4 linked regions of the Schizosaccharomyces pombe genome follow. Changing the gene in region 2 together with the main gene of any one other region gives a genetic interaction. Each region holds a gene or a part of one and is shown on either strand. Other genes may lie near its edges. The genes, in order: sap14, imp1, nup61 and spo5.

Region 1 (7,050 bases), 1.9 Mb from region 2:
AATGCGGTTTTCGGAAACATTAACAATTTCTCTTCCTTTTTAGATAAAGAGAATGAGACTTTTGATGTGATGATGAACGAAGCTCCCGAATTGAGCGAAGATAACGATGCTCAAGAAGATGAATTGGAAAAGCTGGAAGATGCAGAGCTTTTCATGTTCGATACTGGCTCAGCAGATGGAGCCAAAGATTCTGTACCTTTAGATATTATAGCTGGAGATAATACGGTGAAGGAGGACGAAGAAGCTAGTAATGAAATCCCTTCGATTTGGGAAGACAGCGACGATGAGCGGTTGATGATATCTTTGCAGGACCACTCGAGATTAAGAAAATTGCGTCAATATGAAGATGAAGACATGGTTAATGGTCTTCAATACGCCAGAAGGTTACGAACCCAGTTTGAAAGAGTTTATCCAGTGCCTGAATGGGCTAAAAAGCAAGACGTAACCGAAGAAGAGGATGAATTTAATGCTTTATCGGAGAAAAGTGTCATTCCTAAATCTTTGAAGAGTCTATTCAAATCTTCAGTTTCCTACATAAATCAATCCTCAAAGCTTCTTGCTCCTGGTACTATCAACATCAAACGGCTTAAAGATGCCAACTTCCAAGCACCTTCTCACAGTGGAATTCGTTGTATGTCTATTCATCCTTATTTTCCTCTTTTGCTTACTTGTGGCTTTGATCGCACACTTCGCATTTATCAGCTTGATGGCAAAGTCAATCCACTGGTAACATCTTTGCATTTACGTTCTTCAGCTCTTCAAACTGCGTTGTTTCATCCGGATGGTAAACGAGTAATAGCTGCTGGTCGGAGAAAATACATGTACATTTGGGATTTGGAGTCTGCCCAAGTTCAAAAAGTTAGTCGTATGTATGGACAAGAGAACTTTCAGCCAAGTATGGAAAGGTTTCACGTAGATCCAACTGGGAAGTACATTGCTTTGGAAGGAAGATCTGGCCATATAAATTTACTGCATGCTCTTACTGGTCAGTTTGCTACAAGCTTTAAAATTGAAGGTGTACTTTCCGACGTTTTGTTCACTTCTGACGGGTCGGAAATGTTGGTGCTTAGTTATGGTGCGGAGGTATGGCATTTTAATGTTGAGCAACGTTCAGTCGTTCGTCGTTGGCAAGTTCAAGATGGTGTATCTACCACTCATTTTTGTTTGGACCCATCTAATAAGTATTTGGCAATTGGTAGCAAGAGTGGTATTGTTAATATATATGACCTCCAGACATCCAATGCGGACGCTGCACCAAAACCTGTCACTACATTGGATAATATTACTTTCAGCATAAATAGTATGAGCTTTTCTCAAGATAGTCAAGTTTTAGCTATCGCATCTCGAGGAAAGAAGGATACTCTACGACTCGTTCATGTTCCCAGCTTTAGTGTGTTCCGTAATTGGCCCACCAGCGCTACGCCTTTAGGCAGAGTTACATGCCTAGCTTTTGGTAAGGGTGGTGAGTTATGTGTTGGTAATGAAGCTGGAAGGGTTGGACTTTGGAAACTAGCTCATTATGATTTGAAGTTTGTGCCAGATAAAATTATTAATTGGGAAATACGGTTGGGCAAATTTGGATACGTTTTATTAGGGATTCAAATCTTAATACTACATGTAGACGTTGTTATATTATAGATCAATGCATTACATTATTATTACTAAAAAGCTTTAAGCGAAATATAATAAAATTCAAGTCCTTATAGTACCTTTTTTATACCTAGGTTCGAAACACTAGTAAACGATTGTTTAATATGAGCCGATTCATTTTTCTGCTGTATGTTCTCTTCAACAGAATTTATAGAAAGAGGAAATCTATTACACGTTAATGGAGTCAATATCAGACTCCTAATTTGTTTGTTTTTTTTTGGTAAATAAATAGTAAACGTTCACTGAACACCGTATTTTTGCTTAACTTGTTCCAAGGCGGCATACCTTGCTGCCAAATCTTGACCATCAACCTTAGCTCTTTCAGGGTTATAATAATGCACTAAAAAAAAAGTTAACAAGAAGATATTAAAAAGCCGTTAGAAAGGAGAAATTAAAATTAATAGTAGCTAATACATTCCCTAAGATAACGTACCAACCAAGTATCTATCCATGAAGTTGTAGCCAGAAAGCTTTTCGCAAGCTCGACGAGCGTCTTGAACGTTTTCATAAACCACAAATGCAGTACCTCTTGTTTGAACCGTATTCCCCAGCCTTATTTGTCGTACAGGACCATACCTACCAAAAAGATCGTACATCTCTTCTGCTGTAATTTTAAAAGACAAGTTCTTGATGAATAGGATAGAATTGACTTCTTGATTAACTGTAGATGGAGGCATTTGTTATTTTTACGATCTTAACACTTTTTGTTAAAAAAATCAAATTTCGAAAAGAAATGATTTGGTTTGCTTTGGAAAGGATAAATATTCCTAAAAGGTTGGTTGGGATCAGATGGAAAATACTCGTTATCACAGCTTGGAGATTGATGTTGTATAGTCAATCCTATACGTGAGTTTAATTATAGTAGAAAAGATTGAGACATGAATATTAAAGGTTACGTTTCGTGGTTTGGACAAGAAGAGGTATATGCTGGGAAATCGAATGGACCAACAGATCGTAGACAAAACGGTTCAACCTTTTACCAAAATTTTCCTCTTCTTTTACCTGGTAACTCCAAATGTCAAATGCAATCCTTAGTTCATGAGATCTTTGATCAGAGTTGAAACTGACATGGCGGTGATTTCAATAGAGAGTCAATTTAAAGTGATTTTCAAATTATACATAACTAGTTGAAAATCATAAACATTTTTATTGGTATTTTTTGCTTCCTCGTTTGTCTATCCTACAGGAAATAGGTTTCAACTTTAAAACTGACAATTGCAAAGAATAGTTTGATAGTATAGTTGTATCATCAATTTATATTTTTCCTTATTTCTTTACTTTCTTTTAACTTATACTCTTGTTTGGCAATGGGACTTTTATCAAGGAAACAATTTGGTATCATTGATCTTTTGCCTACAGACCAACTAGTTCATCAATTTCTTCTCAAGTTCTTTTGAAATTTCTTAAATTTTTTATTTCCTGATCCCAGAAAACTACATCTGCAAAATTAATGATTCATTTTACGCTTCCAATGCCATGCTTTCGTATATAAGTGATAGCAACAGAGACACTAAAGGGAAAGGATAGCTTTGTTGAATATGTGGATCTTACTGTACTTCATTTTATCTAATTTGAAAGATTTCTCATTGCTCTTTGCTTACAACTGCTCTTAATTGAGAATGTGCTGCATTGCAAATGCTGTTTTGAAGCAATTTAGGAAATTACAGAAAAAAGAAACTATAGTAGCGTTTACAATTTCGAAAACTATACTAATAATTTTAACTAATGAAGCTAGCTATATTCATTATGATAAGCAGGAACTAAGTATTTAAAAAAGTAAATAATGTTGTACAAAAACGAAATAAACCAACTAACGTTAAAGTACGAAATTAATTGACTCATCTATAACCGTTCTTTATTTTTTTTATTTTTTCAATGAATAAAGCTATTGGCATTGATTGCTAATCTGGTTTGATATATGATATACATATTTTTCTTTTTGAAGTATTGAACAATTCTTTTTACGCTTCTAGTAGATTAATTACCATTTACTCTTTTTTTAAAAAAAATAAATAAATAAATAAATAAATAAAATTTTGTATATTCAAGTGGTTTCTGCTCATTAGCCTAATTCGCAAATAACTCTAGTTTAACATAAAATTTAACTTGACGAAATGCGAAAAATGTCTTGTACGACAAAATTTCAAGAGTTAGGATTGAGAGAAGAATTAAAAAACAATAGAACAATAAAACTATTGCACGTAACCCCTAAAACTTGTTGAAATTGGCAATGTTGATTAAATACCTATATCTGAATTAATTTACGAGAGAAAAAAACCTAAACGAAAGATTAATAAAAGCGCATATTTAAGGAAAAATTTTTCTATGAATAATTTCTCTTTTCATCCATTAATCGCCTTCTTGACCCATTTCTTCTCTTGTATTTACATTTTCATCTTAAGTAACACGTCACCTACATCAAGCATCCAGGTAGTCATCGTGGCAAGCATGAATTTGCTCTTTCCCCATATTCGCTACTGAGGTGTGCAGCCCTTCCGCGGCGTCATTGGAACTTCCACTGGGCCGGAAAGGCAAGAAGGATAATTACGGTTTTTAACGTTGAATACGCAAATATTTATAACGAAACGGTGGTTGAGAACTCGTAAATTGAATGAAGAAAATTTGATAAAGGTCGATAAATTTATTTAGCGATAATTTAACGATTTTACCGAGTTAACAAATTAAAGATTTTAATTATTTTTTAATATATTTGTATAAGTGAACAAATAGGTTTGCTTCGCCGTCTTTTTCAACTTGTCGGAAACAAACAATTATCTGGAATTTTTTTTTACTCGCACTTAGATTCTCCGCGTTTTATACGCATATACTAACAAGGAAAGGAATTTAGCTAATCGATAGATTCTGGACCTTTCCTTCTTTGAAACACATTTTCCCCCGTTGAATTGGTTTTGTTTACATTCAAATAAGGTAAAAGCACTCTTCCAATTGAAGACTATAGAGCTCTAATTCGATCGTTTTCTTTGAAATTTTTAAAAATTACTATCATATGAGCGATGTATTCTTTAAAAGATTTGTGCATCCAAGTCGCGCAGAAGCATGTGCACGACATCGATGATATTGGCGATTGCCCATTCGAACTCGTAAAACCTATCCTGGAAAAAGCTAGACCAGAACATTTAATAGACTTGGAAGAAAAGTCGCCTCATTTGAAAGTTGACACTCAACCATTGTGGAAAGATCACGTTTTGCGTGATTTTGGATTAGAACTTCAAAAACGAACTATATTGAACAATATTGATGATTGGAGAGGGCTCTACGGAAAACTTAAGAAAAAAAGAAATGCTCATTATAACGTTGCTTCTGCTAAGCTTCGAAGTGCTTACACCAAGCTAGAGCAAAGTAAACAAAACAAGCGAATTGTTCCTTTAGAGCGTGAGCCTAGAGCTGCTCGGCCTCCTAAGCGTCCGCGTCCCATGAGTAATTATTGTCCAAAAAGTTCTCTAATGGCGAGAGCTAAAAGTGATTTTCTCAAAAAGGCTCTGCTACCCGTCATATTGTTTCAGCTACTTCATCCTCTCGGAGCTTTCCCCAATTGCATCCCCTTGGACGTTCTTCTTCTAACGCTACTAATACTTCTACAAAGCGTCCTTTAACCTCTAATACCTATCCGTCCATTCCTCTTCCTCCAAAGTCTTTCACCTCTCAGAATTTTAAATCGTTCAACGCCGTCAAAACTCAACCTTCATCTTCCTCCTCTCCATCAATCTCTCGCCCTACGTCTTTTCCCATGTCCTTTTTTCCAAATCCTTCGAGGTTTTCTAGTCAAGTTCCTAAACGAATTTAATGAGTTAACTTTTTCCTTTCTCTTTCTTTTTTTGTTTACTAGTCTGTATATTCTTTTTTTTTCTGCTATTGATTTCCTTGGTCCGCCTTATTTTCTCCTCTTCTCCCCTTCCTCCTCTTTACTTTTTAATTGATTGGGTTTGTTCTCTTTATTTTTTGGGTGTTGGTTGATGATTTGCATGCTTTCCAGGTTTCTTGTCCATTACCGTGTTATGACTTACTTAGCTATAATTAATTTACTGTTTTAATCTTATTTAACACTTCATGTCTTTTACTGTATAAAATGTAGTTAACTTCGTTTACATATTTTATCCAGATTCATAGATAAAAGAATTTGATTTTATTTATCCTCGCCAGCTATATTATTATTATTTAAGTCTATGCTATTCCATTAAGTTTTTATAGTCATGGTTGGCTGTTGAGATAGACAGAATTTCTTATATTGTGAAATTGTTCCATCAAACTTGGAGACGACATTATGGTCACACTGCCAAATACTGGTACATGTCTTGTCCAAGAAATCAACATCGTGAGAAACAAGAATCACACCACCTTGGAAGCGTTTAACAGCTCTTGTCAAGGCATCCATGGACTCCATATCCAGATGGTTGGTGGGTTCATCTAGAATAAGAATGTGAGGGTTTTGTAGACCTAGGCATGCGAACGCAACACGAGATTTCTGACCACCAGAAAGCGTGATCATTTTTTGCAATGCAAGAGGTCCACTAACACCAAAAGCGCCAAGATGACGACGGTATTCTTCTTCACCTTTGCCAGGAAATGTCTTAGCTAAAAAGCTTAAGGCATTCAAGTTTAAGTCCAAAGTATCGACATGATGTTGTGCAAAGTATGCAATACGAAGTCGGGGGTGCCGACTAACTATACCAGATGTTGGATGAAGTTGTTCGATAAGAAGCTTAAGCATTGTTGATTTACCAGCACCGTTGGGACCAACCACACCGATACGAGAATCCATTTGAACATCAATATCAACATGTTTGAGAATAGGGTGACCTGGAACATACTCAAAATTGACATCAGACATTTGTAAGATAGGAGGAGATATTTTTTCCACAGGTGGAAATTCAAACTCAACTTCTTCCTCAGTTTGAGGCTTTTCAAGGATCGGCAGTTTTTCCAACTTCTTAATACGACTTTGTGCTTCGGATGATTTGGCAGCATTATAACGAAATTTGTCAATGAATGATTGCAAATGTTTGCGGTATTCCATTTGCTTTTCATATTCACGAAGTTGATTTTTGCAACGTTCTTCACGAGTAGCATAGAATTGACTAAAATTACCCTTATAGTAATCCAAGCGCTCAGAGTGTTGATGAATAATATCAGTAGCAACTTCATTCAAGAAAGAACGATCGTGTGAAACGACTAAAACGATATTTTTATAAGTTTGTAAATATTCAGATAAGAAAGCAATTGAGGGAACGTCAAGCATGTTCGAAGGTTCATCCAAAAGTAGTAAATCTGGTTGACAAAACAGAGCACGTGCCAATGACAAACGCATACGCCAACCACCTGAAAAAGTCTTGGTAGCATGGCTTTGCATTTCTTGAGTAAATCCAAGACCAGCTAAAATAG
Region 2 (5,974 bases):
ATATTATCATCAGGGCTGAAATAGGACACATGATAACCGGCCAAATGTTTCAATCCTCTTGGCCAATTGTAATTTTAAATCTTCATTTTCTGATTCTAAACTCTTCCTCTCCAATTGTTTTTCTTCAATGGAGTTTTGTAACTTTTTAATTTTCTCTAATTGATGTTTTGGTGCAGTGGAAATACCTGGAAGTTGGTTGATCAAAGTGTCTATTTGCATAAATTTTGTAACCAAGTCTTTTGCTAGATCCCTTTGAGCGACTACAAAAAGAAGTTAGCACATAAAATGACTAGAGGACGTCTAATATCGTACATTGTAACTCTTCAGCAGAAATTGGGTTCACTAATAATTTGTTAGTAGCTACTTTGAATAGCATCATAATGAATCTTGTATACCTTTAGAATCAGAAACCTTTTCTTGACCAGGTAAAGGAACGAAATCATGATGAGAACTTAAATAATGAATGGAAGAGTAAAATTGTGTGGCAACCTACATAGGTTAGAATAGAAAAAGAAAACTAGTCCCATTACCTCATCAATTGTATCTTGAAGCTGAGTACACCTACATGCCATTTTTTTATGTAGGTGTAATATGAGTTAAAAAGAGTTGAAAGTCGCAAGTTGTTGAAGGTCCATGATGCAGGTAACAATTGTTGAAGCGCAAATGTCAAGAACAATAAATCGCTAATTAACTTTTCTGTTATTTCAGCATCGGATATTTATTATGCACAGCTTTTGATTTTATGACATTGTTTGTAATTGTAATGTATCGACCTAAAAACCGACTGTCTAGCAATCGGGAAAAAGAATTAAGCTAGAATCACGCTTGACATAAGCAAAAGAAATTTAACATAAAACAGTACATAAAATTTAAAAAAAAATTAATGGAAAGCGAAAAAAAATAAACTACAGAAACTACAGAATCAGCTAAGTATTTTTAATTAACATAGAAAAACAATGATAATAGTAATACATTCGACATATTTATTATATTTTTGATCGTGGAAGGGTGTCCGAGTGGTTATGGAGCTAGTTTAAGGCACTAGTGCGAAAGCTCGTGGGTTCGAGTCCCACCCCTTTCAGTACCTTTTTGATAATCCATTCATTCTGAGTGTTTTCATATTACGTGAAGGTGCATTGTTATTAAAATTGCAGTACTCTGCTTTTAAAAAGATAGCGGACAATGCTACAAATTCAATACAATCTATCCTTTTAAGCAAACATAAATCACTAAATGTTTAACGAATATGCTACTACGGGTCTTGAATATTCACAATATTCTTTTATTAGGAAATGCATTAACCACCGGTACCTTATAATATTCTTACGAAGTGGGTACACACTGAAATAGCTCATTGGTGACCCGAAGAACGGAGGTTAATTTATTTCATAGTCTCGTATATTTGGCAGTAGTTACATCAAGAAGCAACAAATGGTGCATCACTGTCAATATATGTATATATACTATAGATAAATAAATACAAGGCATGTGACTTATATAATGATACTTAACGTAACGTACTATCATCAACGCTTTATTCAAAATAATGAAATGTGCTAAAATGTGATAAAATATTTGTGATACCGCGTTGAGAATCATATTGAAAGAGGTTGCAAATTGCTTCTTGCACCAACTTTGGCTCTTATGCACAAGCAATGTCTTCTTCCAATTGGGAAAAGTTAAAGAAGGTATGAAAGGCTATAGTTTCCATTAAGTCATTTAAGATTCTTGTTTAAGTATACTAACGGTATTGGTTGTTTAGAAACTCGACAGCGCTAAGAGTGGACGGGTTGAAAAAAAGCATTCTAATGAAAAGAAATACCTTAAAAGTGTGAAAGGTAAAAACAATGAGAATGAGAATTCTTATATCGTCGATAAAAAACGCATGAATGAATTAAAGAAATTTGCTAAGGAAAATGATATCCCTGAATCTCAAGTCCTTGACGCATATGGCGTGGATGCTTCCAAGCTTACCAGAAAAACCAATTTGGAAACATTGGGGAAATATATTGCAATGGATTGTGAAATGGTTGGGGTGGCAGATGACATGTCAGTTCTTGCACGCGTCAGTATAGTTAATTATCATGGTCATGTCGTGTATGATACTTATGTCCGTCCTAAAGAAAAGGTTACGGATTGGAGAACATGGGTCAGTGGTGTCAAGTCATTTCACATGCGGGATGCACCTTCATTTGAAAAAGTACAAGCAGAAGTTGCTAAGATACTCGACAATCGAGTATTGGTTGGACATGCTGTCCATAACGATCTCAAAGTACTACTTTTATCGCATCCAAGAAGAATGATTCGTGATACCAGCAGATTTTCTGGGTATCGGAAATTAGCCAAGGGAAGGACACCAGGGCTTAAAAAACTTGCTGAAGTGATTCTTGGGCGTGACATTCAATCTGGACAGCATTCTTCCGTCCAGGATGCCCAAGCAACGATGGAATTATATAAGAAAGTAAAAAAAGAAATGGATGAAGTTGCATTCAAAGGTTTGTCAAAGTCATAAGCTTTGAATCACTAGACTTCGTTCTGGTCATTTGGGATTTGGGTTTAATAATATGCAAGAAAATGTTTCTTATAATTTTACTGGATATGTGTCAGATGTTAAATATATTTTCGGTTGCTTATAACAGCAATATTGTTTTCATTGGCTCTTATGAAATCGTTGGTTTTCTTTCTTTATTTATCTCTTCTGTTTCCTTCGTTTCTGGTTTTAAATAGTCAATCTATTAATAATTTTTAGTATAAATAAATGATGCATACAACTGAAGGAAAGAAATAATGTATGGAAAAAACAAGGATATAGAGATTTATCAGCTTCGTTTATATGGTCTTCATAATTACTTTGTGAATTAATAAAGTTAATGTTATATAATTAGATTACTTCCTATAGTGTATATGATTTAGAGCATTTTAACTGAATGACGATAATATGTTTTCAAGCGCCGTTAAGTTAATTCCTAAATTTATATAAATACCGAATTAATCTTTATTATCACAAAAAAAATAAAAAATATATATATTAATAATAGCTACCAAATAAATTCTAGTTAGACAATGGACCATTAATGTATACATATTAATAGCTTACAAAACAGATACGGAAGTGTTTGAAAAATAAGTATTTATTCAAAGATTAAATTGCTCAACTATATGTATTATATAATCAAAATAAAAATAAAAATAGGCCAACTTGACAGGTTGTTTAAAGAAAAATTCCATTTGTTTTTAAATTTTGAATTCTTGTTATAGCATTCAGCTTGTTAAAAACCCAAGAAAAATTGGTTGATGAGCTCAATAAGCATGTTGTTTTACCCGTTTTATGGTGCGAAGGTTTCCAATGACAGAACAAAAATGATCTAGAAAGTTTCAACGATTTGAACCGGAAAATGATATATTTCAAATTATTCTAAATTTATTATTTTTGAACATTGTTACCTGGGTGCCGGCTGCTTCTTGGAACGACACAAGTGCTCTTTTACCTCCTTATTCTCATTAAACTCGCAGCAACCACAACTGTCTTAGATAACTAAAAAAAAAAGAGTAAAAAGGATATCAAAAAAGTTTATTCCTATAGAAATGGAATCGAGATATTTATCAGATAGAAGAAGCCGTTTTAAAAGCAAAGGTGTTTTCAAAGCTGATGAACTTCGTCGGCAACGTGAAGAACAGCAAATTGAAATCCGCAAACAAAAACGTGAGGAAAGTTTGAATAAACGAAGGAATTTAAACGCTGTTTTACAAAATGACATTGATGTGGAAGAGGAGGCTGATCAGTCTCAGGTTCAAATGGAGCAACAAATGAAAGATGAATTTCCTAAATTGACAGCTGATGTGATGTCAGACGACATTGAGCTACAATTAGGTGCCGTCACGAAATTCAGGAAATATCTTTCTAAGGAGACGCATCCCCCTATTGATCAGGTAATTGCTTGTGGTGTTGTTGACCGGTTCGTACAATTTTTAGAAAGTGAACATCACTTGCTTCAATTTGAAGCGGCTTGGGCCTTAACAAATATCGCTAGTGGTACCACAGATCAAACCCGTATTGTTGTTGATTCCGGCGCTGTTCCTCGTTTTATTCAATTACTTTCTTCACCTGAAAAAGATGTCCGTGAGCAGGTTGTATGGGCCCTCGGTAACATAGCTGGCGATTCTTCTGCCTGCCGTGACTATGTACTCGGTAACGGAGTTTTACAGCCTTTACTTAATATTCTTCAGAGTAGCGCTTCTGATGTTTCTATGCTCCGTAACGCTACATGGACACTTTCTAACTTGTGTAGAGGCAAAAATCCACCACCTAACTGGTCAACTATTTCTGTAGCCGTTCCAATCCTTGCTAAGCTCCTTTATTCTGAAGACGTTGAGATTATTGTTGACGCGTGCTGGGCCATCTCCTATCTTTCTGATGGACCTAACGAAAAAATTGGCGCCATTTTAGACGTTGGATGTGCGCCCAGGCTTGTTGAACTTTTGAGCTCTCCCAGCGTTAATATTCAAACTCCTGCCCTTCGCTCTGTGGGGAATATAGTAACAGGTACTGACGCGCAAACACAGATCATAATCGATTGCGGTGCTCTCAATGCATTCCCTAGTCTTCTCAGTCATCAAAAAGAGAACATTCGTAAGGAAGCTTGTTGGACTATTAGCAATATTACTGCTGGCAATACCCAACAAATCCAAGCAATTATTGAAAGTAATCTTATACCTCCATTGGTCCATTTACTCTCATATGCCGACTACAAAACAAAAAAAGAAGCCTGTTGGGCTATTTCTAATGCTACTTCTGGCGGTCTCGGTCAGCCTGACCAAATTCGTTACCTTGTGTCACAAGGCGTTATTAAGCCACTTTGCGATATGTTGAACGGATCCGATAATAAAATTATTCAAGTTGCTCTCGATGCCATTGAAAACATACTTAAAGTTGGTGAGATGGACAGAACTATGGATCTTGAAAACATTAATCAATACGCTGTCTACGTTGAGGAAGCTGGCGGTATGGATATGATCCATGATTTGCAATCCTCCGGAAATAACGATATTTATTTGAAAGCGTATAGCATCATTGAAAAGTATTTCAGTGACGAGGACGCAGTTGAAGATTTGGCACCTGAAACCGAAAATGGCGCCTTCACATTTGGCAATGGCCCTCAAGCTCAAGGAGAATTTAAATTTGATTCTCAAGATATGGCTATGTAACGTTTAAATTAATTTTAAAAAAATTTTTTTTGTTCTAATCGAAGCGCACATTATTTACATGTTTCACTTAGACAAATTCTGTTTTCCATTACTGGTGCTTTTGTTGGGTTTGTATTTCTTTTTTTTACCCTCTATTTTTAATTCAATTTAGCTATTTGTGAAGCTAAGTATTTCTATTAGGATTAAAAACTACGGTTAAATAATATGTTTACGAAAAAAATGAGTGTACTACTAAAACAGAGCGGTACAGGTAAATAGCATGATATCACTAAAAATGTTTATATTCGTAAGAGCTGCAACTAGGCAAAATAGAGAAGGGGGTTTAGGATCAAAGAAAATAAAAATAAAAGAAAGCAGCGGGGACGATATACACTGTTAGGTTCAAATGACTTCGACTAATCGGTGAATGCAATTTGAAAACCAATAATGACGCAAATTTTTGCTAATAAGCATATATGCAAATCAAATATGACTGAAAAAAACTGCAGCTGTCTTATCGTATTATGTCCCTCGAAAAAACAATTTAGGCACTAGCTAAGACCTTTTCGATTTCACCGAGACTTTCATTGAGAGCATCCTGTTGGAACTTTTGGGTAGAAACTTTGCTGTTGACACGAGCCAAGACATCTTCAACGAGACGTTCCTGTTGTTCAGCGCGAACGTTGGCTTCGTGATGAACCCAGCTATCCAACACTGATTTAGCTTCTTTAGCTAAAGCAACTCGCTGTTCGAGCTCAAAGATCTCAGCCTCCATACGGGCAGTTTCTTT
Region 3 (8,788 bases), on a different chromosome or scaffold from region 2:
TTGTTATTTATATGGAAGATTTGGCTGCTGGATATTACGTTAGATATAATATTCATGACTTAAAAAAATAAAAAATAAAAACAATAGCTACTTTGGGTTCGAATACGTAAACTTAAAAAGCTGATACAATCACTAGAAAATAATAACCATAATAAATGCTCTTCTGTAAAATTTTCCTTTTAAAAGAAAAAACTATAGATATCTTTCATGAAAATGCTTGCCTTTACTTTTCATTAGCCGAACCATCTGTTACATCTATTCAAACATGCCCTTTGTTTAACCCAATTAGTCTCCAGATGTTTTTTTTTTCTCTGTTTAAGTAAAGCACAACGTCTAGGAGAACTATTTAATTAATGAGGAACCCTTAGTAGAAACTCGTATCTTGGTGCTTCAGAGAAAGATTGAGTAATGCTTCAATGATACAATGAAATAATGAGTTTTTTTACTTTTTCAGCTCTTAAATTCATATACTTTTTAAACAGTTATGTGATAAATCATTATTGATCCAAGGAAACATTCAGTCCAAATTTGCTGTCCACATGCTAGCTTCGTTTGTGTATAGTATTTGAAATAATGGCATTTCTATGCATTGGACCGGTTTTACGCCTTGGCACTTCAGACTACAGCTATAGTTACTACCAGTACAATATACGGAATTGGGACCGTACCCACGAGGTTACCAATTCCCAGTTTGGTCGACATTCATTCCTATATTCGTTTTATGCTCGGATTATAAGGAATCGTCGGACATATGAAATTTTCATATATAAGCAGTTTGCCGAAAGGCCATAACCACATTTGTTGTAAACAAGCAGGTAGGTTTCTCAGCAGTCAGGCGGATTTGAAGAAATATTCAGAATCACTATGCTTGCCAAAGACTTCGTTTCCTATTAAGCCAAACGTTAAAGGAAATAATGAAAAGTATTTCAAATCCATCACATCAGACCTGTATGAATGGCAGAAGGAGAATTTGAATAAAGAAGATTCTTTCGTGCTATTAGATGGGCCTCCGTTTGCAAACGGTCGACTGCATATAGGTCATGCTCTAAATAAGATTTTGAAGGATATCATCAATCGTTGGCAATTGCTGAAAGGCCGTTCTGTGCATTATGTTCCTGGTTGGGATTGTCATGGTTTACCAATCGAGTCAAAAGCTATTAAAGCAAACGCCGAGCGTAAAAGTTCTCTTGAAATTCGAAAGATTGCTAAAGATTTCGCAAATTCGGCCGTTCAAGAACAACTCATGATGTTCCAACGTATGGCTGTAATGGGAGATTGGCCTTCTAGGTACATCACCATGAGTGACAAATTTGAAATAGCAGAGCTTAAGGTTTTCTTAAGTTTGTTACAAAAGGATCTTATATTTCGTCAAAATAAACCTGTTTATTGGAGCTCTTCAAGCAGGTCCGCTTTAGCTGAATCAGAAATAGAATATGATGATAATCACGTCAGCACGTCTATCTACTTTACGTTTCCGGTGAACAGTTTTTCTATCGATGGATGTGAATACAATAATGTAAAGGCATTAGTTTGGACAACAACTCCCTGGACCATTCCTTCAAACCTTGCATTATCTTACCACCCTGAAATCAACTATGGTCTATACCAGCACAATAATTCGATTTATTTAATGTCTGATAATTTAGTTCCAAACTTGGATTTTATGCAGGGAGCTAAGCGTCTTGCGAGTTGCCCTTCAGATATTATTTCATCATTTACATATGAGAACCCTCTATTACCGAAGCAAAGCTTTCCATTTTTACAATCTAACTACGTTACTAATGATATCGGTACTGGTATAGTACATGTCGCTCCTGGCCATGGAATGGAAGATTATCTTCTAGGACTGGAAAACAATTTGCGTCCTTTTTCACCACTCGATGATTATGGTCGATACACTAAAGAAGCTTTGGATGGAAGCCTTGAAGGATTGGAAGTTCTTGGTGATGGAGGAAAGAAAGTAATAAGTATTATGAAAAATCAAAATATGATTGTTAAGGTCTCTCCTTATAAGCACCGCTACCCTTACGATTGGCGAACACATAAGCCATTAATTTTACGGGCGACCCCTCAATGGTTTATATCATTGGAGAATGAAAGGAAAACTGCCATAAAAGCACTTGATAGTGTAAAAATGATTCCTCCAAATTCGCGCGCCAGACTTCTTGGTTTTTTGAATGGCCGTCCTGAATGGTGCATTTCTCGCCAACGGGCATGGGGTTTACCCATTCCTGTATTGTATGAGAAAGGAACTAAAATCCCCCTACTAACTGTGAAAAGTGTATCCTATATCATTGAGAAAATGGAAGTAGAGGGAGTTGATTCTTGGTTTAATGATACTGAAAACAATGGGCATGCTCAGTGGGTTCATCCGGATTACAGAAATAAGGAGTATATTCGTGGCACTGAAACACTTGATGTATGGTTTGATTCTGGGACTAGTTGGACTACAATAGCACCTCGTAAGAATAAACCGCTCATTGACCTTTGCTTGGAAGGAAGCGATCAACACAGGGGATGGTTTCAGTCACTTCTTCTCACATACACTGCCTACCAATCAAAACCAGAAGCACCGTTTTCTACTTTGTTTACGCACGGATTTATCTTTGATGAAAGAGGTCAGAAACAATCCAAGTCTTTGGGCAATGTAACCGACCCTGAAGATGTAATAAACGGAAAGCTTTTAAAAGGAAAAAAGCTTCCATATGGTGTTGATTTACTGAGACTTTGGGTTGCATCATGTGACAGTACGAATGATACTAACCTGGGACCGAACATTTTGACGCAAGTTGGTGAATCCTTAAAAAAGTGGAGATTAACATCCCGATTTTGTCTTGGGAACTTACATGACTGGAATACCTCGAGCTCAGTTGATGTTGGTGAATTACGTGGTATTGATAAGTTGGCTTTAGTCCAACTAGATAAATTTCAGACTGAAATTCGAGAACTTTATGAATCATATTCAATTAACAAAGTTGTTCATCATCTCAATTATTTTATGAACTCTTTCTTATCCTCTACATACTTTGACGCCGTAAAGGATCGTCTGTACGCTGATTTACCCAACAGTGTATCTAGGAGAAGTGTTCAAACTGTCCTTTATCATTCATTACTTACGCTCATTTGGGCCATTTCTCCCATTACTCCACTTTTGGCACAGGAGATTTGGCAAAGCTTACCCGATAGTTATTTGAATTCTTCTTACCAAACTCCTTTTCACGCTGGAGAAACACATCTTATAAGCAGCTTAAGGTCAAAAGTTGATTTACTTGATAGAAAATTTTTAATTAAGGAATACTTGGTTCTTCAACAACTTAAGTATAGTATTAATTTGTTGATTACCGCAGCTCGTGAAAATCTAACTATTAAAAACTCATTAGAAGCTTATGTCGTTATTAAGTCAAAATCTCAATCTTTATTGAGTTTTTTAAAAAATTACTCTTCCGACCTTCCTTTTCTGTTCAATACATCGAAGGTATTTATTAACGAAATTCCCGAAAATCTGAAATTAGCTTCCGTTACACAACCTGAAGTTCAGTTGGATTATGGGGTTGCAAATATCTCTTTATTTTTTTCAAATCAACAAAAATGTCTACGTTGCTGGATGCATACAGCTCATGAGGACGGATTATGTGACAGATGCGAATCTGTTTTGGCCCAACTGAAACGCTAAGAAAAAAGCTGAACGCTCTTTATTATGATAATTTTTGTACCATAGTCATTTATTTTTGTAATACTTAATTAAAATCAAGCGACAATTCATTTTTTGTATTATTTTATTTTACTGTAACATTAGTAAATAAGGAGACATAGTGAAGGCCATAAGTTTGGGTGGTTTTGGGGCTAACAGTTGACCTTCGCAAACTAGCAAAATGTCAAAACGCGGTGCTGATCATCAGTTAACTAAGGATCAAGATGATTCTGATGATGACCGTCATGGTCCAGTTGAAGTTCCTAAGGAGGCCTCCGCAGACGTGATGGCCACAAGAAAGTATGTAACGATGAAACATAGTTCTTCAATTTTTTAGGTACTAATGTATTAGAATTGCAAAGCCAAAATCTAGAAAAAGACCAACGAGCGGTGTTTCTTCTCCGGGAATTTTTGCAAATTTGGCAGCAAAACCGGTGTCTTTACCTGCATCGACTACGCAATTTACATTTGGAAAACCCGCGGTTACAGCTAATAATGATTCAGATATTCACTTGAAAAAACGCGGTCTTAATAAATCATTTATTGACGCTGTTATCAAAAGTGTTGACAATAATCCCTTTGGTAATTTGAGCCCTCTGTTTGATGAATACAGGCAGCATTTTTCAAGTATAGAAAAAAAGCCAGCAGAAGGTAATGCGTTTATAGTTAGTACTTCATTTCTTTCTAACGTTTTCTTAGAACAACCAACTTCAAATGCTGTTGTGTCTGAGGTAAATCCTCAGCAACAAAAAAGCCAAGATTCTTCTTCTTTTGTTACAGAAAAACCAGCTTCTTCAGAAAAAGAGGATAAGGAGAAGCCCCTTGTTCCCCCCGGTGCTCCTAGGTTCGGATTTTCTGCTCCAGCGCTTGGTAGCTCTTTCCAGTTTAATTCATCGGCTTTTACTCCTAAAGGGTCATTTGGTGAGAAGTCCGCAACAGAAGCGGAAGCGAAGGAGAAAGAAACATCTTCTAATCAAACTGCCACTGGTACTGCCGCTACCACAACCAACCAGTTTTCATTCAATACTGCCGCTAATCCTTTCGCTTTCGCTAAGAAGGAAAATGAGGAATCAAAACCATTAACTCCCGTGTTTTCTTTCTCAACGACTATGGCTTCTGCGGATGCTTCAAAAGAGACCAAACAAACCCATGAAACTAAAGATTCAAAGAGCGAAGAATCTAAACCCTCGAACAATGAAAAATCCGAGAACGCCGTTGAACCTGCCAAGGGAAATACTATGAGTTTTTCTTGGACTCCTGATAAGCCTATCAAATTTGACACACCTGAGAAAAAATTTACATTTACCAATCCATTATCGAGCAAAAAGTTACCGGCCTCTTCGGATGTGAAGCCTCCTAGCGCTGCGGCTGTCGGCTTTTCATTTGGAACTACTACTAATCCGTTCTCTTTTGCTGCTCCGAAATCTTCTTTTCCTACTTCTTCTACTCCAGCTTCTGTTGGCGCTGAAAAAAGTGAAGAAACTTCTAATGGAAACAAATCAGAGCAAGAAGAAAAGGAAAACGGAAATGATGAAACTCGATCGAATGATTCTCTAGTTTCTGGTAAAGGAAAAGGCGAAGAAAATGAAGACAGCGTATTTGAGACAAGGGCCAAGATATACCGTTTCGATGCTACTAGTAAATCTTATTCTGATATCGGGATTGGTCCATTAAAAATTAACGTAGATCGTGACACTGGCTCTGCTCGCATCCTTGCGCGTGTCGAGGGAAGTGGAAAACTTTTGTTAAACGTTCGTTTGTGCCAGGATTTTGAATACAGCCTGGCTGGTAAAAAGGACGTAAAAGTACCTGCTGCTTCTACTGATGGAAAATCAATTGAAATGTATTTGATTCGTGTGAAAGAGCCTAGTACTGCGGAAAAGTTATTAGCCGAATTGAATGAGAAAAAGGTCTCAAAGTCAGAGAACTAGAAAGCAGTGATTGATTCAGTCACTATTTATTCCTTTATTTTTGGTCTATTAAATGTACATAAATCTAATAAATTTTTCGGAAATATATTGTCAAGATTATCAATTTAATACTGTCATTCGATTTTCATTTGTGGATAGGGATATACACAATCAGTCTTTTACGAAATGTGCATACAAATATGAAATTCCCGGAAGCATACATGCTCTCCAAGTACATTGCCTTTATGGAATATTAAATTGGTTAAGCTAGTCATATCTTTTCTTTTTAAATTTACGCAGAACATCAAAGTTTTACGGAACTGATTTAATTATCCTAATTTTCATCTTATGAATGATTGATAAATTTTTGAGTGAATTTTAAAACTGTTGTATATCGCCAGTGATATATCTTGAATTGATTGATTCAATAATCGGTTTCGTTATTAAATTACTTTTGTCTATATATTGGTTCCGGATTTTCAAACACCTGCCTAGCTTTTAGAAGGGTCAAACCCCCTTATTGAATAAGTATCTTGGCGCGAACTTTTAATAAAATAAGCAAGTAAATGAGCCACTATCAATTTCGAATTGTTAGTTTTTTGAAAAAAGTAACTTCAACAAATACGTTTGTAGCGAATTTATCGCTTAAAGTTGATTTTTTTACTGTAATTGAATACTGTATTGGACCGGCTATAATTAACAGCTTAATTTTACAAGTTAAGAGTTATAATCGATAAGTATAAATCATTTTAGGGTATCAATTTTTGACCATTCTAACACCTAATTTTTTGCATGTTTATCATAGTAAATACCCTAAAACATCCAAGTAAAAGCATAAATAATGACTACCAAAACGAGCCCATAAATAAATTTTTTAAGAGAATGAAACAAATTGTTCTAACCGAGCTTAAAGTATGAAATATTGGCTTAGCAATAATTAGATTCATGACAATTCGGATACTGATGAACTTTAACTATGTTCAAAATTTTGGGATTCCTCATCCTCTTCATCTTCTGATATATCCTCTTCATCGACTGGGTAAGTGAGAATGGCGGCAATACCTGACAACAGATCCAGCTGCTTCCCTGACTCATGCAAACTACTGAAAATATAAACAGGACAGTTAATCTCCTTAACACCTTCTACTAATGAAACCCATTTTTTTCTAGTAGCAATGTCAGAACTCCTGAACAGAGAATCGCTAATCAGAAGTTCTCCGATCGCGCCAAGTTCAAAAGCCTTCAAAACATGATTTGGACCATACCATGCCTTTCTATCATCTTCATTCATGACATCGTAAAATTTATTCAGAACGCGAATTTCTTGTACGTATTTTGTGTCGGCTAGTTTTGATTCAACAGCAGGGTCCTTCAAAATTTCATTAAGGGAATGAATATGACCAGTGCTAGAATGAAGGATGACAAATTTATTCTTTGATTTAACAATTTGTTTCAAGTCTAACTTCACGGCCATGCTGAATATGTAGTCATACAAGCCTCGAGCCACAAATCCTGGTGAAGCAAGAATAACGACTTTCAATTTATCAAAATCAAATTCTGAGTTAATGGATTGAAAAACAGAGTCATAAAATTTATCAAGGCCCTAAAAAATTGATCAGTACGGACGAAAAATCAAAGTCTAAAAATTTACCTTTTGGTAAGCGCTGCTGTCCCCTCTCCGTTTCCTTGGAATCACTTGATCAATCCTTTGACGCAGGATGGTCATATAATCTGTAATGAGACAAATATTGGCAAGACCTGCAAGTCAGTAAACATGCACGAACTAATAAAGCGATGTAAGCCAAGAAATTTACCTTCATCTAAAACCACAGCACCTATTTCAGCATTTCTTGAAGGATTACAAGCAGCATCTACACGGTCCAATGCAAATGCATCCCATTCATTTTTATATAGAGTAAAATTGCGATGTAGTTCTAAGTCCAAGGTATGGTAGGATCCCATCTTAACTTCAGGATGGTATTCAGTTGTCCGTCCTTTGATGTGCAATTGAGCAGCCTTTGTATCAAAGTCCATATTCTCAACTAAAATACGTAGTTTCATCACAACTCTTGAACCTGACGTACTTCCTGTAGCGCCAACTTTCACTACACGACTAAACAACAGAAAAAACAGGTGTTATTATCGAACATTGAAGATACACTTTATTTCATACCGAACTGTAGAAGCCTTCAGCTGATCTCCAACTTGAAGAATATTATACAAATGCCTAAACTAAGTTAGTTTGTGCATTGATTGCAGATATACAGCAACCAGGCATACCACATATCTTCTGGCTCTTCAGGGCACATGGTTATCCATCCGGAGCCATTTTTTTCGATGTTTTTTTGAATCAACTTCATATTGAATGTGGTTGACGAAGAATTTAAGTGAACAGGAATTTTTTAGGCTATTTTGACTGACATAATATCTCGAAATTTTATTCTATATAATTATCCTTTTTATAGTAATAATTGTTCAAGTCATAAATATGAGTTCTTGACAAAAGTATTTTGCTAACGAGGTAGTGGTATTAATACTTATTGCCATAGATAGTCGTGTATATGAGCAAACTGTACAACAATTTGAGTTGGCCATATACAAATTCATATTCTTTCATTTACTAATAACCACCCAAACTAGTTAAAATGCCTTAAAATTTTTCTCTAAATGGGTTTGCTCGGCATTCCAAACTGATTAATACTTAAACTCCTGGAAAAGACCATAAAAGACTTTCTTCAATTAAAAAAAATTTTATTTAAAAAAATTTCTTCAATTTACGTTGAAAACTGTGATATACCAATGTTCACCATACACGAGGTATCATGGAAGGAATAGAATATCGTTATTAAACACATTTCATGGTATCGGAGTTGGGGCATATTTTTTTAAATTTGCTTCGTAAATTCATGTAAACAAACTTTGGAATCAAAATCCATTGTGCCAACGGCATTTCCAATTTATTTCTTCTAATATTTCTTGAACATTTACTTAGTCGGACTAGTCGCTTATCTTACCTTTATTTTAACGTAAAATTAAGCGAATACTCAAATCCGCTTAAGCAAAAATTATTACCTTCTCTCGCATACTTGCTTCCATCGATTTGCATGTAACCTTGCTTCTGTATGCCGTTTAAATTCCGGCCCACATGTCGCAGTTTCTTTTGATTCTTTCTTTTGTCCTCTCCCTC
Region 4 (8,070 bases), 1.4 Mb from region 2:
AAAGAAAATTCTCGTCAACTGATATTAACTCAATCATAATATAGATGAGCCATAAAATATTAACATTAATATCGTAATGCAATGTAGCAGTAATATTATATAATCGTAGTCAGGTAAAATATATAACAAATCACCATATTAACCCATTCGCAAAAAACTTTGATGTTTAAGCTACTCAGATCAATCAGTACATATCTTGTTAGAACTAAGGAATTAAATTATTCAATTATATAAGCGTTAAGATGGATGAATAATAGATTGGTGAGACAGATTTGGGATAGTGATGTATATAATAGAATATTAACATATAATTTACGAACTCTCCTTTATCCTCTTTATTCGATCAGAGCGTCCGTTAAAACAACTTACGCACGGTTTTTAGCCTCCCTTAGGCTTGTTATTGATATTCGCAGCATTGTCTATGAATAGTGAAAGTGTTGATTCAGATGTCGCGGCCTCTACTAGTAATAAGGGAAATGAGTTATGTAGCTCTTCCACTGACATTACGTCTTTATCAGTGAGTTCCCCGAATGAATCGGTTATTCATTCCAGTCACTCTGCAAGTGAAGCTGATGAGTACGTTTGCAAATTAAGTTATGAGGGTAATAGAAAGAAAAGAATTTATAATGGCTCTGCTGAAGCGGGTAAAGAAAAGAAGCTTCAAAAACAGCGGGCCCAAGAGGAAAGGATTCGACAAAAAGAAGCAGAGCGTTTAAAACGTGAAAAGGAACGTCAACAACGAGAGCAAGAGAAAAAGCTAAGAGAACAGGAAAAAATCGCCGCTAAGAAAATGAAAGAATTAGAGAAATTAGAGAAGGAGCGGATTCGATTGCAGGAACAACAAAGGCGGAAGGAGGAGAGGGATCAAAAGCTTCGTGAGAAAGAAGAAGCACAGCGCCTTCGTCAAGAACAAATCCTTAATAAGGAAAGACAACAATTGAAGTTAAACAACTTTTTCACCAAAGGAGTTGAGAAACGAATCGCGCCAAACGAAAATTTTGTAGCTGACAAAACGGATGAACTGAATGAGTTTGAGAAAGAGTTTCGCCCTTTTTTTATAAAGCATCAGATGTCCCTTTCCAAATATCCATCTCCGAACGAATCTGATTCTTTTTTGGATGAAGTCCTCTCAACCTCTAAATCTTATCCTTTAAAGCTAAACGACATTTTTACACCATCAGATGCTGTAAGCTCCGCAAACAGTTTAGGTGTTAGTAATAGAAATTCCGAAAACGAGGTTCGACAATTAATGAGCGCATATCAAGATCCATCTGTTTCAAAACCTCAAGAAATTTTATCTTGTTTATCACAGATTCCTATTAAATTCATTTTCTTTTATCAGGATGTTCGCCCTCCATATTTTGGATCTTACACGAAAACCCATTCCCATGGTTCTAACGTTTTATTGAATCCCTGGCTTGAAGATGAAGACATAGACTACACATATGATTCAGAAGCAGAATGGGTAGCTGATGAGGAAGATGATGGAGAAGATTTAGAAAGTGAAGATGAAGAGGTAGATAATTCCGATGATATTGTAGAGGATGGTGATAATGCTTTTGTGGATGATGAGGATGATGACAAGGATAGTGTCAATGCTTCTAATACCCATCGTTCCTCCGGCCCATTAGAGGTAATCGTAGAAGGTCCGGTTTGGGATTCAAAGTTTCTTCCTGACTTTAATTGCTTATCTTTAATTGAACCCATTAGTTCATTTTCAGCATCTACATATCTCCAAATTGATCCTAAAGAGGATTTATGGGCTTCTCAAGATACTGCTCCAGCGTCTAGTGGAATGACAATTGGACCTACCAGTTCACTTTCTGATGATTTACAAGTAAGGTTTCCTTCTGAAGATATACCCAAATTTATAGAATATGTCCGTAACTCTCATGACAACAAAGTATTCCTGATCGAGAATTTGAGGCACATGTTTCCTTACGTAACCAAAAATATTATCAGCGAAACTCTTGGAAAAGTCGCTGTGCGTAAAGGAAAATCAGTATCTGATGGTTGGATAATCAAGGAGAATTTTGCATCCCTTTTATCCTCTTAATTCACAGTGTGCAATTATCTTGAACACTCAAGGACTATTTATACCTCTCTCTTTTTATACGATTAAGCAAATATGTATAATATCATTCATTAATACTGTAGTGGTTTGACCTTTGTTATATAACCTGATAATAAATAAAAGAAAAAACATAGAAAGAAAGCTTTGGCCCTTAATTGTAAGCTTTGTCTAACAGGTTTTATGTTGGTTTAAGTTTGAGTATGTGATAAGTGTTTGAAAAGATTTCGATATTAGAGTTTGATGTTCAAGTAAATGCTGGAAAGATGTTTAAATTTAATTAGCAGCAGAAGTAGCGGGATGGGCATGATATGGCGTAGTACTTCTGCTGTTTTCATAGTTTGAGGGATAAACGGAATAAGAGGGATACATACTTTGCCAACCGTAAGTATCATAAGTGGGTGAATGTTGATAGACTGTGTTCGACTCCAATGGCACATACATTCCAACTTTAGAGGGCATAGAGTTATTTGCGAACTCCTCAACTTTGGAAAAAGCATTATTAGCTGTCATTCCCTTAGTTAAAACACTGTATTCACGAGCACGCCATAATCTTCTTTTCTGAGTCTGACCTTTAAACTTCTTCTGATCAGTGGAATCAGCAAAACGGATTTGTAATGGGGGTAAAGCAGGATCCAAGACAAAGTTATTAAATTTATTAATTATGTCTTCAGCCGTTTTACGATCTTGCATACGAGCAAACCCAACACCTCGAGATTGTTCCTTAGAGTCACGAAGTACGCGGTTTGATATGATTTTGCTGGGTTTAAACAATGTGGAAATATCACTTTCATTCCAATGAAGAGGAAGATTAGAAATATACAGATTGGTGCTTTCTGTGTCTTGTAGACTTTGAAGACGTGCACTGAAACTTTCTTTTGCAAATGAACACTGATATCCACATAAAGTCATGGCTGAAATGCAAATCAATGCAGATTTCTCTTCTTCAAAGCATGCAAACCCATATCCTTTACATAAATTCGTTTCCATATCAATTATTGCTTTGCTGCTACTAACTTTACCAAAACGATTGGTGTAAAGCAACAAATTTTCATCCGAAGTGTTGGGAGGTAAACCACGAATGTAAACATTCCGAGTACGAGAAGTGCTTTCCATGTTACTTTTTTTATTATCATGAGACATGGGAAACATGCTGGGAATGGCAGGAGGAATTGCAGGATGCAATCCAACCAGTTGAGAAAGGTAATTTGTATTCTCCTTTGTTGTACCGACACTCATTTCTTGATTAATGGCAGCGGGAATATTTTTTTGCCCTTGGGAAAAAGAAGGCATCGAGAGAGAAACTGAATTCGTAGGCACAGTCGCTGAAGGAACTGGCGCGAGATATGTTGGTTGATTGACAATATGAAGTCCCGGCTGATTTAAAGAGGGCATTTGAGGATATACTAAAAGACGAAAAGTTTGGTAAGTATTAGTTTTTTCATAAGCTGTGTATCATACCATTCTGAACATATGGTTTTAAATACTGATGAGTATTGTTAACATGATAAGGGTGAACAGACTGATGAGTCTGCCATTGTGAACCATAGCAAGGAGCTACAGAATTGAATGCAGGACGGAATCCAGAGACACCCGGTCGATTGTTGGAAATGGCTTGTGACTGTGCATAGTATGACGGATAATAAGAGTTGGCATAGTAGGCGTTTTGTTGTGGCAGTGTTCCATTATTAATATTGTTATTTGCATATGAAATAGGATCGGTTGTCATAACGGTTGATTGATCAGCAGCACGCCTATTTAAATACGCGGCCTGTGCTGCTGTAGAATAAGTATTGTTTTTTATACTATATTCCTAGTTAGTATTACATTACACATCTGTAATAGCCCTTTACCTGTTTGGCTTCTTGGAAAGCCCTAACTCGCTAGAACCAGGCGTTGCGTTTGGGCTTGTTCCTGGTGTTAATAGTATAATTGTAGAGTCCAATCCTTCACTTTTTTTCGTGTCATTGACATCCACAGTTGTTTGACTTGTTGGAGTAGACAATTCGGTAGTGGATAATGGATCACGAGAAGGAGAAGACATTAATTGTTTTTGTTTTTGAGGCGTAATTATTCCATTCATCGCTCTTATATGCTTTAAGTAAATAATTTTTAAATTATGTATACTTTAATGTTTGAATATATGTTAAAGGTAAGTTTTTGAGCGCGCGAAATCTGTTAATAAACAAATCAAGGATAGCATTGTGTTGCATTAGATTTGATAACGTAGAAAAAAAATACACTTAAAGGCTCAGTTTTATTATACAGTTAGGATACATGTATTAATTATGCTTGTACTTTTGGAAACTTAACTTTTCCGCATATTACTCAATGTTTTGCGTTGACAAGTACACATTGACCGAGGATTTAACTTATAGCATCCTGTACTCTAACTTGATGCGTGTATTTTTAAAGCAAAAAAAGAATTATCAAATACTTTCTATTGTATGTAAATTGATCAAACATTCGCAATCGCCTTAATTATTGAAGTGCAATGAAGTCGACTGCCAGTGTTTACTTTGTTACCCAGCTTTAAGTCGGTTTAGGTTTTTCAATCATGACAAACACAGCACTTTGTGTAGATTCGCATTTTCGGTAGACATTTTTGAGCAGTAAGAAATTCAAGTTGGCAGTTTATTTTTGATATTATAACGTTACAGAGTACTGTTCGTTAGTTGCTACAAAAACTATGTTTTCTATAGATAAAAATACCGAGTGGAATAATGATTGTATTAAACTATTTCTAAGATGAAAAGGCATCATTAAGTCTTGAAGTAATCGCAAAGTCTGGATAAATTCCAAACTTACCAGGTATCTTCAAAAAATCTATTGTCATCTCGAAGAGCTTTAACGGCTTTCATACCGTCAACATCAACAGTGGTCAGAATAGAAGCCAATGCATTCACAACATCTTTAGCCATATGATCAGCATCACCGCAGATATAAAAAGCAGCCCCTTCTTCTACAAGTTTAGCAATGGTATCACTGTGCTCTAAAAGACGGTGCTGAACATAGATTTTATGATCTTGCTCACGGGAAAATGCGGTAATCAGTTCAAAAGAGTCTTTCAAGACATCTTTGTATTGTTGCCATTCTTCCTTATATAAAAAATCCTTGTCAGAATATTGGCAACCATAAAATAAAAGTGTTTTTGCTACTTTAACTCCTTTAGAAGCTAAATTAGCCCGTTCCATCACAAAACCGCGGAATGGGGCTACACCAGTACCCGGGCCTACCATTATTATGGGGACATCGGGAGGAGCCAATCGAAAAGTAGATTTCTTTACAAACATCGGAATTTTTCCGGTCCAGTTTTTACGAGGACCCTCAAGGGTATATTCCAAACCATTTGGATGTGGAATTTTTTCACCGTGCATATGACGACAATGTGCCAACAAATAATTAGTAGTTAGTCCATAAAAGATATGATTCTTATCAGTCCATTCTTTCTTGTCAACTACCGCTGTAACGTGAACTTTGTCAGGATGCACTACACTGCTCGAGGAAATCGAATAGTAACGCGGTTTCATGTGTGCCATATTTTCCAATAGCATTGAGAATGGAAGTTTTGTAAATGGAGCGTCAGGAGAAACACGACGAAGGACTTGAGCAAGGTTTAGGTGCAAGTCTACAACGTTCTTCTTAAAGTAGTCATAATCGTTGCCTAATTTCTCGAGTTCTTGCTTAGATTCTGGTGTAGGAGCGAAAGGAGCAATAAAAGAAAGCAGTTGCCTGGAGACGATACCACATATTTCATAGTAGTAGCGAAAAACAGTGTCATAGGTAGTAGGACTTAAAACAGGAGCCTTATCGAGAGTATCGATAGGTTTAACAATTATTACAGTATCCCTCTTCTCTTTGAGACCGAGAACTTCGAGAAGATCATCAACAGCTTGACTAGGATTCATAGGACAAATAGAAGCGTAATCACCTGTTTGATATCGCATACCAGAGTCTGCGATATCCAACTCTAAATGTAAGCAATTACGACTTCCAGATTTGAATAGCTCAAGAGATCTGACAGGAGAAGAGAAAAATGGATTAGCTTGAGAACGTGGAGCTTTCGATGCAACATTTCCTTTCAATTGCTGACGACTTGGTTCTCCCAAAAAGACAGTAGAACTAGTGTTGGAAATTTCAGGCTTCTCAATAACTTCAAACATAGGATTGTATTCCTTGTGGACTTCTTGCAAATGGAACAGCTTACCTATCTCAGGTAAAGTATCATCCTTCCATTGTAAATAGTCCTCTTCAAGCATACCAGCGGCATCGTCGCCCAAACCTAGATTGCCCACACGAGTAGCGCCTAAACGAGTCATTGCAGCATCTACCTTTTTAGCCATTGCGTTATAATACTCATAGGTATGATTTCCAAGGCCAAAAATTGCATAACGAATTCCTTCGAAGGGAGTATCTTCAATGCCTTTTCCACTTGAAAAAACGGTATCATCGCCCTCAAGAAGTTGCAAAAAGGCCTCCGCATTGTCCGTAGGTTCACCTTCACCGTAAGTTGCGAGAAAGAATACCAATAGTTTTGATCTATCAAAGTTGTCCAAGTCGGTTAAATCATAGTTCTCAAGATCGAAAACCATATTGGTAAGATTGAAGTTTGCCTTTGCTTCCGTTGAAAAACGGTAGGCAAAGTCCTCAGCGGTACCAGTTTGAGATCCAAAGAAAACCGCGGCAGTGAGCTTTTCGGCCTCCATCAACTCGACAATACTGTCGGTAGCCACGACTCGCCTCTCAGGAGCCTTTGGCTTGTTGAGAAAATTGTTATAAATAAAGTAACACAAGCTAAGGATCAAAATAATGACCAGCAATACATATTCATAAGTCTTCATAATGCAAAAAATATAATAACCAAATTTTACGAGTGTTCAACTTCGGGATTTAATCCGCCTTTTATTCCAAGGGTAAATGTGCGTGTAAAAAACGAGTGAGTCAACAGAATTGTCTGATGATAGGCAGATGCGAAATAAAGAGCGAAACAGTACTATGCTTTTTTAGCTTGAACCACTTTGAAGCAGATACACTAAAGCGCGAGACAATAAAAATGAAGAAACTCAAACAAGGGTTTCTATAGCCTCTTAAACAAAAAGTCAAGTATTTATCCAAATACTCTAAAGAATCTATAAAAATCAAGATGAAGTATGTAGGCTAAGATACTTAATTAATGAAACAACTGCGCTTTATATGATGAGCACAATAACCATGCCAATTGAACAATCAAATAGATGCTAGAAAGCTTCTAAAGTAATTGACTTCAAAAAGCAATCCTTTCGGGAGAAAAGCTAATTGTTTTGGCAAACGCTAATACCTGGTCGCTGGTAACTCCTGCACCTATATACTGCTATAATATAAAAAAAAAAAATATAGTTCGATTTTTCAATGATTACTTTTTGAAAATTTCTATTAATTAATAAAAAACTATTTAATAAATTCATGTATTAATTTTGGTTAATTAGCATGTTCAACGAAGTTAAAGTTTGACAGATATAGATATCCAACATATGTAGTAAGTATGGATGGAGAGATAAAAATGGGAATGGGAATGAGAGTATTTTTAGATAGAAATAGTGTGACGGCAATCGTACAATAGTTAATTTATTGTGGCAAGCCATCGCAATAACAAAATACCTCGGGAAGAGAATTAAGCGCAATACGAAATTATGGTAAATCGGCGATTCTACTAGTAGGTGTTTATTGTTTTACTAATTATAATGACGATCAGTAAAAAGTAGGTGAGCTTTGAAAAAACCGTTGCTATACACTTTAGGATTTATTTTGACGAACCAATTAATATGGCTACCGTAGTACGGTACATTTTGAACCATTCAGTAAGCTAGTAGATAGGAATAAGCTATCGTCTTTCTGGTCAACATTGGAATGCAAAAAGAAATAATCTCACTCTGTTTATCGGTTTTAGGTTTCTACCGAAAGCCCATTCAAAGACCGTAAAACACTATCGGCAAAAGCTGTTTGTAAACGAACGATAAAAG

Evidence for each region.
Region 1: mutations in imp1 (region 2) and sap14 together harm fitness more than expected from each alone (negative genetic interaction), as found in Schizosaccharomyces pombe (one large-scale study listed by BioGRID).
Region 3: of imp1 (region 2) and nup61, changing one enhances a phenotype caused by changing the other (phenotypic enhancement), as found in Schizosaccharomyces pombe (2 studies listed by BioGRID, with this or other methods).
Region 4: of imp1 (region 2) and spo5, changing one enhances a phenotype caused by changing the other (phenotypic enhancement), as found in Schizosaccharomyces pombe (one study listed by BioGRID).

The regions. Positions count from the first base shown.
Region 1 is NC_003423.3:2,048,369-2,055,418, forward strand, and holds sap14 (Pre-mRNA branch site p14-like protein), read right to left. Parts: upstream 2,401-7,050; 5' UTR 2,328-2,400; coding exon 2,084-2,327; exon of another isoform or gene 1,991-2,083; coding exon 1,890-1,990; 3' UTR 1,629-1,889; downstream 1-1,628. Other genes in the region: AAA family ATPase Gcn20, read right to left, coding at 5,846-7,050.
Region 2 is NC_003423.3:3,913,041-3,919,014, forward strand, and holds imp1 (importin alpha family nuclear import signal receptor adaptor Imp1), read left to right. Parts: upstream 1-3,514; 5' UTR 3,515-3,585; coding exon 3,586-5,205; 3' UTR 5,206-5,474; downstream 5,475-5,974. Other genes in the region: srb7 (mediator complex subunit Med21), read right to left, coding at 10-260, 313-342, 396-489, 531-572; exoribonuclease Rex4, read left to right, coding at 1,656-1,688, 1,763-2,512; F0-ATPase subunit atp4, read right to left, coding at 5,729-5,974. UniProt on the Schizosaccharomyces pombe protein: Functions as a component of the nuclear pore complex (NPC).
Region 3 is NC_003421.2:728,306-737,093, reverse strand, and holds nup61 (nucleoporin Nup61), read left to right. Parts: upstream 1-3,852; 5' UTR 3,853-3,872; coding exon 3,873-3,991; exon of another isoform or gene 3,992-4,043; coding exon 4,044-4,342; exon of another isoform or gene 4,343-4,390; coding exon 4,391-5,622; 3' UTR 5,623-6,223; downstream 6,224-8,788. Other genes in the region: ism1 (isoleucine--tRNA (Ile) ligase), read left to right, coding at 752-3,673; dom34 (translation release factor eRF1 family protein), read right to left, coding at 6,572-7,204, 7,253-7,359, 7,416-7,714, 7,775-7,828, 7,882-7,961. UniProt on the Schizosaccharomyces pombe protein: Functions as a component of the nuclear pore complex (NPC).
Region 4 is NC_003423.3:2,532,305-2,540,374, reverse strand, and holds spo5 (meiotic RNA-binding protein 1), read right to left. Parts: upstream 4,226-8,070; 5' UTR 4,155-4,225; coding exon 3,925-4,154; intron 3,877-3,924; coding exon 3,533-3,876; intron 3,478-3,532; coding exon 2,348-3,477; 3' UTR 2,121-2,347; downstream 1-2,120. Other genes in the region: histone H3-H4 chaperone, CAF assembly factor (CAF-1) complex subunit A Pcf1, read left to right, coding at 422-2,056; ccr1 (NADPH-cytochrome p450 reductase), read right to left, coding at 4,876-6,912. UniProt on the Schizosaccharomyces pombe protein: RNA-binding protein which plays a role in sporulation. Regulates the progression of meiosis I and may function in the vicinity of the Mei2 dot.